2 linked regions of the Caenorhabditis elegans genome follow. The protein of the gene in region 2 purifies or fractionates together with the protein of the main gene of each other region. This does not show direct contact. Each region holds a gene or a part of one and is shown on either strand. Other genes may lie near its edges.

What was found.
Region 1: the proteins of urb-1 (region 2) and nasp-1 fractionate together in Caenorhabditis elegans (co-fractionation; one large-scale study listed by BioGRID). This does not show direct contact.

What each region holds. Positions count from the first base shown.
Region 1 is NC_003280.10:11,105,008-11,108,796, reverse strand, and holds nasp-1 (Protein NASP homolog 1), read right to left. Parts: upstream 2,186-3,789; 5' UTR 2,162-2,185; coding exon 2,049-2,161; intron 1,998-2,048; coding exon 1,631-1,997; intron 1,582-1,630; coding exon 1,006-1,581; intron 948-1,005; coding exon 855-947; 3' UTR 727-854; downstream 1-726. Other genes in the region: apc-1 (Anaphase-promoting complex subunit 1), read right to left, coding at 1-92, 137-466, 520-573; C09H10.9 (YqaJ domain-containing protein), read right to left, coding at 2,835-2,867, 2,912-3,039, 3,088-3,226, 3,271-3,380, 3,430-3,566, 3,612-3,789. UniProt on the Caenorhabditis elegans protein: Promotes normal hermaphrodite (XX) development, in concert with zinc finger protein tra-4 and histone deacetylase hda-1, perhaps as components of a complex. May act redundantly with nasp-2.
Region 2 is NC_003283.11:6,418,028-6,426,279, reverse strand, and holds the start of urb-1 (Nucleolar pre-ribosomal-associated protein 1 C-terminal domain-containing protein), read left to right. Parts: upstream 1-2,124; coding exon 2,125-2,241; intron 2,242-2,289; coding exon 2,290-2,532; intron 2,533-2,583; coding exon 2,584-2,646; intron 2,647-2,693; coding exon 2,694-2,777; intron 2,778-2,827; coding exon 2,828-3,053; intron 3,054-3,100; coding exon 3,101-3,213; intron 3,214-3,268; coding exon 3,269-3,562; intron 3,563-3,913; coding exon 3,914-4,063; intron 4,064-4,481; exon of another isoform or gene 4,482-4,554; intron 4,555-7,970; coding exon of another isoform or gene 7,971-8,060; intron 8,061-8,120; coding exon of another isoform or gene 8,121-8,156; intron 8,157-8,232; exon of another isoform or gene 8,233-8,252. Other genes in the region: T05H4.11 (DUF4706 domain-containing protein), read left to right, coding at 437-532, 837-925, 981-1,075, 1,125-1,209, 1,258-1,338, 1,386-1,572.

The sequences.
Region 1 (3,789 bases), on a different chromosome or scaffold from region 2:
AATGTGTCGTGATGGTGGAAGGTTTGTTCGCTGGATGAATCGTAGAACCGTTCGACCAGAAGACTTGTCGAGCAGGAGAACACGTTGCGAAGCTGGAAATATTTGAAATTATCAGAATTTCAAACTAAATTCTCACCTTAAAAGGAATTTCATAGTGATAGAAATGATAGTCGGGAAGCGATATGAACTGGAGCTTATGCTCACCGCACACAACCAAATAATCCCGATGCTTCGTATCAGGTCCACCACAATTCTCAGTTGCCAACTTTTCAGCGTTTCGAGTCACAATGAACGAGTGGAAGAACACTTTTTTGATATCAAACTCCATTTTGAACCGTCGTTTAATCATCTTCCGTCGCGTCGTTCCATCACAAATGAGAATAATTGGACCCGATGTGAAGACAAAATCCGTGGTCTTCTCCTTGTTTCGAAACGCGCAGACCACTGTATCCTGGGTGAAGAAATCCTGAAAATTTAAGTTTACTTTTTTTAAATTGTTAATTATCTAAAAAAAATTACCTTTCCAATTTCATCTCCCAGCTGAATATCAAACTGTTTATTAGCAGAGATCATATTTTTCCAATGGCAATCATCAAATTCTTCACTCATACAAGTATAATTCGAATTTGAATGAAGCTGAAAATCCTGTTTTAAATAGTAAAATTATTTTGGAAGTATGAAAAAGATTTGAAACAAATTATAAAAACGAATATATGGCGAATATATATATACAGAACAAGTTTTACTTTAGAATCCTTAAATTCGGATAACAGATAAAATGTTAATTGATACATTATCAGTAGTTCAGTAGGTCAGATCATGATGAAATATTTAGAATTACAGGTTATCAATATTCAGATCGAAGTTGTTCCTTCCTCCTCCTTTTCTTTCTTCACTGCTTGATTGTCAGTTGGAGCATCCACTGCTCGTTTTGCTGGACGACGAACCTGGAAATTTGTTAATTGAATATTTAAAAAGTCTACGGGAAGTTAATTCAAACCGTACCAAGCTAGAAATATCATTTGCTTCCTTCTGATCACCGGCTTCTTGTGGAAGTTTTGCCAATACTTGTGTGAATCCTTCGAATTGCGCTTTAATGGCCTTCTTAGTTTCCTCAACTTGTGCTGCAGAGTGCACAGCATCAGCAATCATTTCTTCAACGCCTGGCATCATCTCTTCAAGCTCCTTCAGCTCATTCTCAAATTCAGACTTCTTTTCCTTATCATCAACACCTCTTTCCAGCTCATGCTTCAACTCAGTCTGCCTGGCGATGAGTACGTCCTTGGTTTTGCCGAAGTACTGAACGGTTTCATCGTAATTCGCATCGCTAGCACACGCGTTTCCGATGAGAATGTAGGTTTGGGCGATTTTTCTCGACGACGGTGGAAGAACATTGCGCTGAATGTTGAGGGCACGATCCAAGTCCTCAAAAGCCTGAGTATACTTTCCATCTGATATTCCGTGCTCGCCGAGGAGAACCAGTACATCAGCGAGTTTCAGGTTCCATTCCTCAATGGCACTGATTCCACTCTGCTCAGCTTCTAGAGCTTCGATTTTGGCAGCGGCAATACAACGAGCTGTCTGAAAATAATCACAATTAAGCATAAAATCATTGAATAAAATAAGAAACCTCAAGAATTTCCCATGATAATTTCATGGTATCATCATCATCGTCCTCTTCTTCACCGGATTCCTCTCCGTCCTCCTTCTCCGTTTCTCCATTCTCTTCGTCAGTCTTGTCATCAGAATTTCCAGCTTGCTCCTCATCTCCGCTTTCCTTCTCACCTGGACCTTTCAGAAGTTGGCTCTCCTCCTTCGCCAATTCCAGTGTGGCCATGCCATAATAGTAAAGAGAATCGAACGTGTTTTCATGGTTTTCTCCATAAATTTCGGAGCTCAGTTCAGTAGCCTCACTCAACGAATCCGATGCTTTGTCGATATCGTTAACTTTCAACGCACGGCGTCCAGCTGCAAGCAACTCGGCGAGACGCTTCTCTCTGGAATACGAAAAGTGATTTTATTGATGATATTCTGCAGCAAAAGTTTACTTCTGCTCGACAGTCTCTTCTTCTGTAGTAGTCCCGTTTCCTTTTTCATCTGAATCTCCTGAAGCATCCTTCACACGAATATCAGAGGCGTCGGCGATGTTTTCAGTGTCCATTTTCTGATTTGTTAATATCTGAAAATAAATACTATTCGATATATATTCAAAATTCAATAAAAAGCGGATAAATTCAAATGAGTATAATAGCGCGGGAGAGCCTAGAAACCGAGCGTTGCCTAGTCCACTAAAAACCGGCCATACGGCGGGAATTAGTACGTTTCGAAAAGGTTTATCAATAAATGTTTTTAAACAAACATATAAACTGTATTCATGATGTTTTTAGAATTCTACCGCTAGAACAGACCGACAGGCCGATTTTTTGGTTGATTTCAGTTGATAATTCCAGCTTGAATCACTTATTAACACTGCCGCCGCTTAAAAACTTTTAATTAAACAAAAATAAACACAATACTTCAGCAAAACTTTCATTTGAAAAGAGAAAAAACAATTTTTTGGGAGTATAAACTTAAATTGTCAACAACAAATTTTCCCGCGCTGTGCAATGTTGCGTCTGCGTGCCGCACAGATATTACTGTAACGCATCACATATGACGAGCAATTGGAGTTTTCTTTATTTTTTCTTTTTTGTTTTTGCATTTTCTTTTGCCTATTTTCCTTCTAGTTCTTTAACAAAATGAATTTATTAAAAACTTTTATTCTAAATACTAGAGAAAAACTGTATATCACATAAAACTCGATGGCACATTGTTGAGAATCTTCCAAGTTGTAATTAAGTCCGCTCAGAAGTCGTTTTAGGCGATTTCTGAAAAGAAATTAAAATTATGTTTAACTGCTGTGTTTCAATACCTTCTTTAATTTTATTGTAAATTCGTTTTCCCCATTTTCTGAGTCGTGTCGTCGTTTTACTCCACATTTTACGATTGGGGGTTTGGAGAGAATGCCGAGGAGAACTGGATGGTCCGACAATTTCAGATCTGCAATCTAGTTTTTGTTGAATTTCGTTTAATCACTATCAAACTTACTTTCTTTGTCCTCCTGCAAATTCATAGCCTGGAAAACTGGCGTTCGGATCGTTGTGAATTTATTATCCGGATATTTACATACACCTTGAGCTTTGTTAGTGCCGGCTTCCGTAATTCTTATCAGCGAAATTTCAAATGCCTGAAATTTTGTAATGACAGGTGAAAAAAAATGTAGATCCTCACATTAACATGGTCGGCGACATCCGGATACACAAAATTTTCTATCCATTTTGCAAATGAGTGCAAGTTACTGTAGCTACAAGTACCAATGAGAGCGCCGTGCTTATAAGTTTCTGAAAATTATATTTAATTGGTCTATTAAGCTTAACTATAAAATATTACTTTTATTATCTGGCCAGTAATGCTGGTGTGCGTCGAATAGAGTTAGCGTGTCCTGATTTCTATCGAAAATAATCGAAACTGTTCGAACACAGCTCATCATGATGAAGACAAGGCGACTTTCCGATTGAAATAATGGACTGAAAAATGCCGGAAATTTATAGAATTTGAAATTTTGAACCTACTGCCGAACAGCCATCTTGATTAGTTTTGGTAGAGATTCTTTGATTGATCCAGTAGTTAGTTTGAAATCAACTTCCGAAAAACTAAGATCACATGCTTTGATTGCATCTGGCAAGTTGTAATTTCTCGTAGATTCGTCACCAGCGTGCTTTGAATAAGTGTCATTTCCATCCACAATCC
Region 2 (8,252 bases):
TTTGTTGTTTTAGTCACGAAGCTTATTTTTATTATTCTCATTCAAAATTTTTCGATAAAGTGGCTTGTTATCAGCCATTTTAAACTCGTTCAATCAAATCATGGGTTGTACAGTTGTTCTACGAGCAAACATATTCAAACTCTTCCCCAACCCGTGAATACTCTTTTGAACGGCACCCCATTGCCGATTTGGGGTGCACCATTAGGCAGACCTGTCTGTCCGCAAGCCTCCTACGTCATCACACAGACACTAACCCAGCACCATTGCGCAGACGCGACAGACGACCTTTTATTTGCTACTCATATACCACACGATTTCAAATTGCAGGTTTTCGTTCCGCCGAAATGGATTCAAAACTCTAGTCATTTCAAAATTAATAAAAGGTTTGTGTTTTTTTCTCTCACGCATTTTTAAAATTCCATTTCCAATATTTAAGATGGTCGAATTTTCAAAGGAGTCATCGACCAGAGTCTCTGTAAACTCACAACGACAAATATCGCATGTCCAGAAACGAGAGCTCACGAAGCGAAAGGTTCGTTACTGATGTAACAGATAAGATGGGAAGTAGTGTAGGCGGGATTCTAATGGAAGACTGGAAGGTCAACCGTTCGATATGACATCATTGTGACCCCATGATGCTCGTCGGAAGATAGGGATTCTTTTTTTTTTTGCGTATCTGCTACGTGGTTATTATGCGTTGTTCAAATACTTTAACAAGAACAGTTTCTCTATGGCATTCATCTTATGATCTGGTAAGATTTCCATTTAAAGAAACACATTTCCTGAGCAATAAAAGTATGAATAATAACTCATTAATTAATAAACGTATTTTGCAGAGTGTCCGATTTGAAACACAAACTGTGGAGTCAACATCCGAATTTGTTGGTAAAACGAATCAGGAATGGACGTTCGTCGCTGATTGCTTGTATGTTTCAAGCTGTAATTTATTAAAACTATTTTTTAAAATTCCATTTTTCCAGCAATCTCGACAAAGAAACTCGAAGTGAACGAGAACAGGAGCTTCTCTCGCTGTGCAACTTCTTCGATTCGAATGAGAAGGAACTCGAGTTGAGCGGTATTAAATTAAAATTTTAATAATCCAGTTATCAATAAGCGTATTTTAGATGCTTCTGACGAATCGGATGACTCGGTTCCATTCGAATTATTTGCCGAGCAGGGAATGCGAATTGCTTGGACTCAAATCGTTACGTAAGGATTATTTGATGGTTTATGTTGTTTTAAAATTAAATTTTTTAGCTCACCGTCATTGAGCAATCTTCGCTTAGCTAGCATTCTCCGCTTCGATACAAAAAAGAAAATAGTTTCACCCTTCATTGAGTGAGTTTTTCTGATAAAATGCCCGATATTAAAATGAATTATTCTAGAGACGAAAAGAGTCCTCAAGAGTTCTTCTTGGACGACAACGAAGCGGTCGAGAATGCTTTCAAAGGTGTCTTACCATGCACAAATTCTCAAAAAGTGAGCAGGTCACGTCGAGCTTCAAAATCAGAAGAAGAAAACGATTTCGTAACGGCCAAGGGATCCGACTTTTGGAGTGATGTCGAATTTTAAGAAAGACCACGCAGCAGAAGCAACAACTACAATGTTCACAAATCCCAATGCAAAAACTGACCGATTAACGGATTTTATCTACTATCAAGAGCTTTCAACCGTCTTCCAAAGAAGAACATCTATTCGTCTCCCCGCAATTCTATATATAATTTCGTTTTGTCTTATCTCAAATTCTGTTCGTATTTCATTTACTGATCAAATTTACTCTTGTTCTATTGTAAATCATGTCCTTATTCCTAATCTCCAAAATTTTTTAAAAATTAAAGTTACCATTCCACTAATTTTCATCTCTTTCCCTCAACCCATTTCATTCCTTTCGCCGATACTCTAAAATTTAATGTGCCTTTCTTTCATTTAATTTCAGTTCATCTCTCAATTGCCTTTTTTCAATTTGCAGAAACTTTATTTATTTCCATTTTATCATCCAATGCCGTTCAACGAATAAATGATTTGATTAAAACGTTGTGTGGATTGACCAAGTGGTTTTCTTCCATAAGTACCTGAATTGTATAGATCAACTTTAAACATTTAAGCATTGAAACATATTTCCAGATGGGCACGAAAAAAAAGATTTTGGCAAAACTAGCCAAGTTCGGCGAGGTAGACTGGACTCCGAATGAAGAAGAATTGGCAGAGCTCGTTGAACTTTTGAATGATATAAAAGACGACGTAAGGTAGAAATTAAGGATGATAATAATAATAATTTAAAGACTTTAGATATCTACACAAGAAAAAGTTCGAGACGTCGATTTGAAAGTGCTCGCAAGCTTGCTCACTGTCTACCGAGCAACGTGCTGTGAGCTCGATATGAGCATTTTTGCAATTCTTCAAAGTCTTGAGAAGTATGGAACAGATTTCAGCGATTTACAACCACTTGTTTTCGGCGAAGAAGCTAGGAAGAATTATGAAAATCTGCGGAAAATGGGACTCGACCTGCATGTTAGAATTACTCCAGACGATGTAAATGAATCTTTTTATCTTTCAAATAAATATTTAATTTCCTAATTTCAGGCAATTAAGACGTTTTTTGATGCAGCAACACTTTGGAATACTACTAAATATCATGTTCGGCCGGTAAGTTATCTTATCACAAATTATATTATCTCATGGTTTTTGTTTAGCTGACAGAAGAAAATTCTGAAAAAATCTACGATGTTCGATTTGTACTTCGATTCTTCAACTCGATTCTACATCCTGCATCTTCGGTAAGTTATTGTTTTAGGTGCAATTAAAAATAATCTGTTTAATTTTCCAGCTTACTTCAAAACTATTTGTTGAACATAACTGCCTTGCCCTCCTGTTCTCGTGTACATCTTCATCGGATTCTTCTGTCCGAACTTTGGCGTTTGCATGTCTTCAAAAGTTTGTGAATCATTTACAAGAACTGAACACTGAAATATTCGCTGAAAAAGCACTGATTCTCTATCTAATTCGAATTTTCAAACATGGATTCGATTCGTCAGTGCCGAGAGTTTCAAGTAGTAAGTTTTTGCGAGGAATTTAAAAGTTCCAATTATTTTTTTTTCAGTCATTACTCATTTCTTCGCAAGAGTCTCAAAGTTAATGTTGAATCCGTCAAGTGATGTTTATCCGCAGATCATGGCTTTTCTCTGTATGAAACCAATTTTTGACATTCAAAATGTATGTTTCTGACTGTGATAGAGGGGTTTTCCACTACTTGAAGAACATTTTTCAGGTTCCAGAATTTTACAAACTTCTCTTCTCGTCTTCTCCAGAACACCATAATGAAGAACGTGAATGGGTACTTACTCTGATCTCCGAGGCAATGCTCGAACCCATCGATTATCAAGTTCTACAAAACCGAGCTGGTATCAAATTGCTGCTCAGTTCGTTCTCGAGTGTTTGGCTGGAACGGAAAAGTCGTTCACTGATTCTTCGAACTCTTCAAAATGCCGTTCAAATGCCATCTGTGGCTCATGATCTTTTCACAAGAGAAGGCCTGCACATGTGGATTGCTTCTATCATTCATGTGAGTTCATAGAATAAATATCTACTTATTGCGCCATGTTGTTCCAATGTTGCCAATTGAAAATTGATCTCAAAATAAAGTAAATAACTTTATTAATCTCAAAATAATATTTATTTCAATTAAAACACTTTCAAAAGGTGCTAAAAATCACCTGAAAGTTGCAAGTTGTCGTAGTTTCCACAATTGGCAACTTTCAGGCAGTCTTTGTGCATTTTCTGAGATGTTTCAACTGAAATAAATGTAATTTTCAGATTAAAAAAATTGATTTTCTATATTTTGACACTAATTTTTCAATTAAAAAATATGTAATTTTATATAATATAATCTCTGCCAATGACGAAATATTTCCAGAGTGGTCGATTCAATAGATGGGAGAAGAACTATTTGGCACAAGTATTTTGTAGTCTTTTGGAAAATGAACGAAAATATCAACGAGGAGAAAAAGGAAAAGAGCAAGCGTGTAAAGCGGCTACTTCTGCAGCAAGAATTTGTAGTAAAAAGGTTAGTGATTCAAATTTATGAAACTTACTATTACCGGTACAGAGAGTGTAGATAGTTAGAGAGTGCCAGACATCCGGGACCCAATGGGGCGGGGCGCGCGGAAGAGACGATTTGTGTCGATTTACGAAATTTTCCTTGTTGTCATCATTTACTCTCTAACTATATACCCTCTCTGTACCGGTAATAGGGAGTTATTCAACCATACGGTGCGATCGGGTAAAAGTAAACGTGTTATGCGATAGCTGGCATCTTAGGCTTTCAGAATCTGTAATTTGTTTCGGCGGAAGACCTCTGTGAGTCTGGAAATTTTCATCTGAAAATGTAGTACTGAAATCAGTGCATTTCCTATGGTTAACAGTGGATTTTGTCTCTGGCGCCAACAGAAGTCTCACTGCAATGGTGGAAGGGCGAAATCATCGCTTCGGTGGTCGAGTGGTGAACGCGTTCGCCTCTTGAGCAGAAGTTTGTGGGTTCGGTTCCCACACGTGGTTTAAATTTTGGCCTTTTTTTATACAAAATTTTTAGAACGGGAAACAAATGTTTAAAACAGTTTTTTGAGGTTTTTACATTACTTTTTTGCTTTTTGATTGAACCACAATTACCCTGGAAACTTTTCAGAAATTTTTATTTTTTCGAAAATTGCCACTTTTTTCTCCACCAAACCCATGAGAAAATTTGATCCAAAAATTTTTTTTGAATTTTTTCAAAAATGTATGAAATATTGTAGAGTGTCACAAATAACTTATTTTTCATTGTTTTCAATGACCGAATCACTAATTCTGATGCCGTATCAAGACGTTTTACCAATTCGATATTGGCAAAACACCTTGTCTTTGAGACTCCATATCTCCGCAGGAAAAAATTGCGCTTAAAAGTGATCAACTGAAAACTTGTTAAACACAATGTGATCTAAAACTTTTCAGTTGAACACTTTTTTGTAAAAAATTTGGTTGCTGAGATATAGACCTTTAACTATTTAGAATATTCAAAAATAATGAAGCTCAAATCAATTGGTTCCAACTCGGCAACCAAATTTTTTACATGAAAGTGTTTTACTGAAACGTTTTAGATCACATCATTTTCAACAAGTTTCTAGTTGATCACTTTTTTGTGCGATTTTTTTCTGCAGAGATATGGAGCCTCAAAAACAAGATGTTTTGCCAATATCCACTTGGTAAAAGATTTGGTATTCTGATTTTTTACATTTTTTACCATGTGGCAAATTTTTTTTCGAACTACCAAGTTTTTTTTGTACAGTTTTATAATGATTCAACATATTTTTTGGCATATTTAACACCGCGAATTAGAACAATTTGCGGTAATTTTTGCATTTCATTTGTTTTAATGGTTTTTGAAATTTTCTGCCCTTCGTTGTTTTCAGTACTCGTTCTATAATACTCGGCAGAGAACACTTTCTCTATTATTATTCATTTATTTTTTAATGACTTTTTCTATTGCGAATGTCATATTTTTGCTCCGGAAGAAATTCCCGGATCCGCTACCGTCTGCACCATCCATCACTCGCGAGGAGGAGAAAATGGCAACTCATTGTTGGAACATTATCAATCAAGCTGTTGACGGAGATATAGAAGTATATGAAGATGACGATGCTGTTGACGATAATCACGAGGATTGGATTCCAGAAGAATTTGAGGTATAATGAATTTAATAATGGTACAACTATTAATTTTACAAATTTAGCCGAGTGACGACGTAGTTCTTGCATCACATCGCGATGTAATGTTTGGTGACAGATCAATTACTCGAGAATTACTTGATGAGGCAATTGTGTTTTTCCGTGGAACCAAAAAAGGATCAAGAACTCTCTCTTCGATGATGGAGAAGTACAAATGGATCAAACGAGAATGTGATTTGAGCAAGCTTCGAAAGTATGAGAAGGAACGAGACGATTTCACAGAAAGCCGAACAAATCTTCTGCGCCGTCTCGGTAAAACACTTTATGAAGTGGTTAAAGATAAGTTGGAAAAGGGTATGTTTAGATGTTCTGAAAGTATACCTATCAAACTATTTTTAGGTATGATGATTCATGACTCTGATCTCGCATCAATTGCTCGCGAAATCAACAATAACGAAACGAAAGTCGAAAACTTCATTGCCTCGTCAAATTGGGTGTCGAAATGGAAGAAGAGTCATCGGTACGAGTTTTGAAGTATTTGAAAGTATCAAATTTCGATTGTTTTTAGGATCGTAAGCAGGAGAATAACCAAATTTGTTACACGGAGGTGTATGCGGGATAAAGTGGCTATTCGAAAAACAGCTGATGATTTTGTCAGGGACACCAAACGCGAAATGTCTCCGTTTGATCCATATATGATTTTCAATGCGGATCAAACAGGCATACAAAAAGAACTCTACGGTGCACGATCATTAGCATTTTTGGGAGATAAGGTAGTGGAGAGGCTCGTCCAGGCAAAATCATCCCTGACACACAGCTTCACTTTTCTTCCGATGATCTTCATGAATGGCTCACTTGGACCGAAGGCGTTTATTGAGATGTCAGAACCTGCCACTGGATGTTTCCCGCCAAGCCGACCAATTCCCAAATGCCCGAACTTGGAAGTCAGAGCGGCAAAAAGCCACATCATGGGAAAAGAATTGATGTGTGATTGGATCAAGACTTGTGTGGCTCATGCTTCGCTCCCAAAAAGGCTCTTGATGATAGTTGATAGTTGGCCAAGTTTTAAGGATCACGCTACAATTCAACAATGCTTTCCTCCAGGATATGACGTCACTATAAAGAACATTCCACCTCATACGACTTCAATGATACAGCCTCTTGACAGCCATTGGAATGGCCCGTGGAAAGTATGTTTTTCTTTTTCTTCCACTTCTTTTATTTGATTATTTTACAGAACTTGATCAAGAAGTTCACCACCCACGTACTCAACTTCCATCCAGATTTCCTCATTGCAAATCGGAACAATGAAATTTGGATGATTTCTCTGCTTTATCACCAGGTTTCTGCTCGCGAGTTCCAATCATTCATGATGTATTCTTGGAAGCGTTGTGGCTACTTGGATTCAACTGACACGTTTTTGACCCCTTCACAGCATTGTTTTGGACAAGTCGAAGGCCAATTGTGTTACTTCGCAGGATGTTATAATCTTGCATTCATTTTCTGTGCCCGTTGTAAAGAATATATCTGTTTCTCACATTTTATTGTCGACGAAAAGCATCTCTGCCCAAATGTGTGATTGCTGCCCACTGTTTTTTTCGACAAATGCCTTATTTTCCAGTGTCGTTTTATTGATAAAATATGCCAAAAAATATGTTGAATCATCATAGAACTGTACAAAAAAAATTTGGAAATTCGAAAAAAAATTCGCCATGGTGCACATGAAGAAAATTTCATTTTTTGGTCGGAAATTTTTTTCTCCAAATCTGTTAGATATTCAATCCCCATAAAAATCTCGATATGAAAAACATGGTAAAAAATGTAAAAAATCAGAATACCAAATCTTTTACCAAGTGGATATTGGCAAAACATCTTGTTTTTGAGGCTCCATATCTCTGCAGAAAAAAATCGCACAAAAAAGTGATCAACTAGAAACTTGTTGAAAATGATGTGATCTAAAACGTTTCAGTAAAACACTTTCATGTAAAAAATTTGGTTGCCGAGTTGGAACCAATTGATTTGAGCTTCATTATTTTTGAATATTCTAAATAGTTAAAGGTCTATATCTCAGCAACCAAATTTTTTACAAAAAAGTGTTCAACTGAAAAGTTTTAGATCACATTGTGTTTAACAAGTTTTCAGTTGATCACTTTTAAGCGCAATTTTTTCCTGCGGAGATATGGAGTCTCAAAGACAAGGTGTTTTGCCAATATCGAATTGGTAAAACGTCTTGATACGGCATCAGAATTAGTGATTCGGTCATTGAAAACAATGAAAAATAAGTTATTTGTGACACTCTACAATATTTCATACATTTTTGAAAAAATTCAAAAAAAATTTTTGGATCAAATTTTCTCATGGGTTTGGTGGAGAAAAAAGTGGCAATTTTCGAAAAAATAAAAATTTCTGAAAAGTTTCCAGGGTAATTGTGGTTCAATCAAAAAGCAAAAAAGTAATGTAAAAACCTCAAAAAACTGTTTTAAACATTTGTTTCCCGTTCTAAAAATTTTGTATAAAAAAAGGCCAAAATTTAAACCACGTGTGGGAACCGAA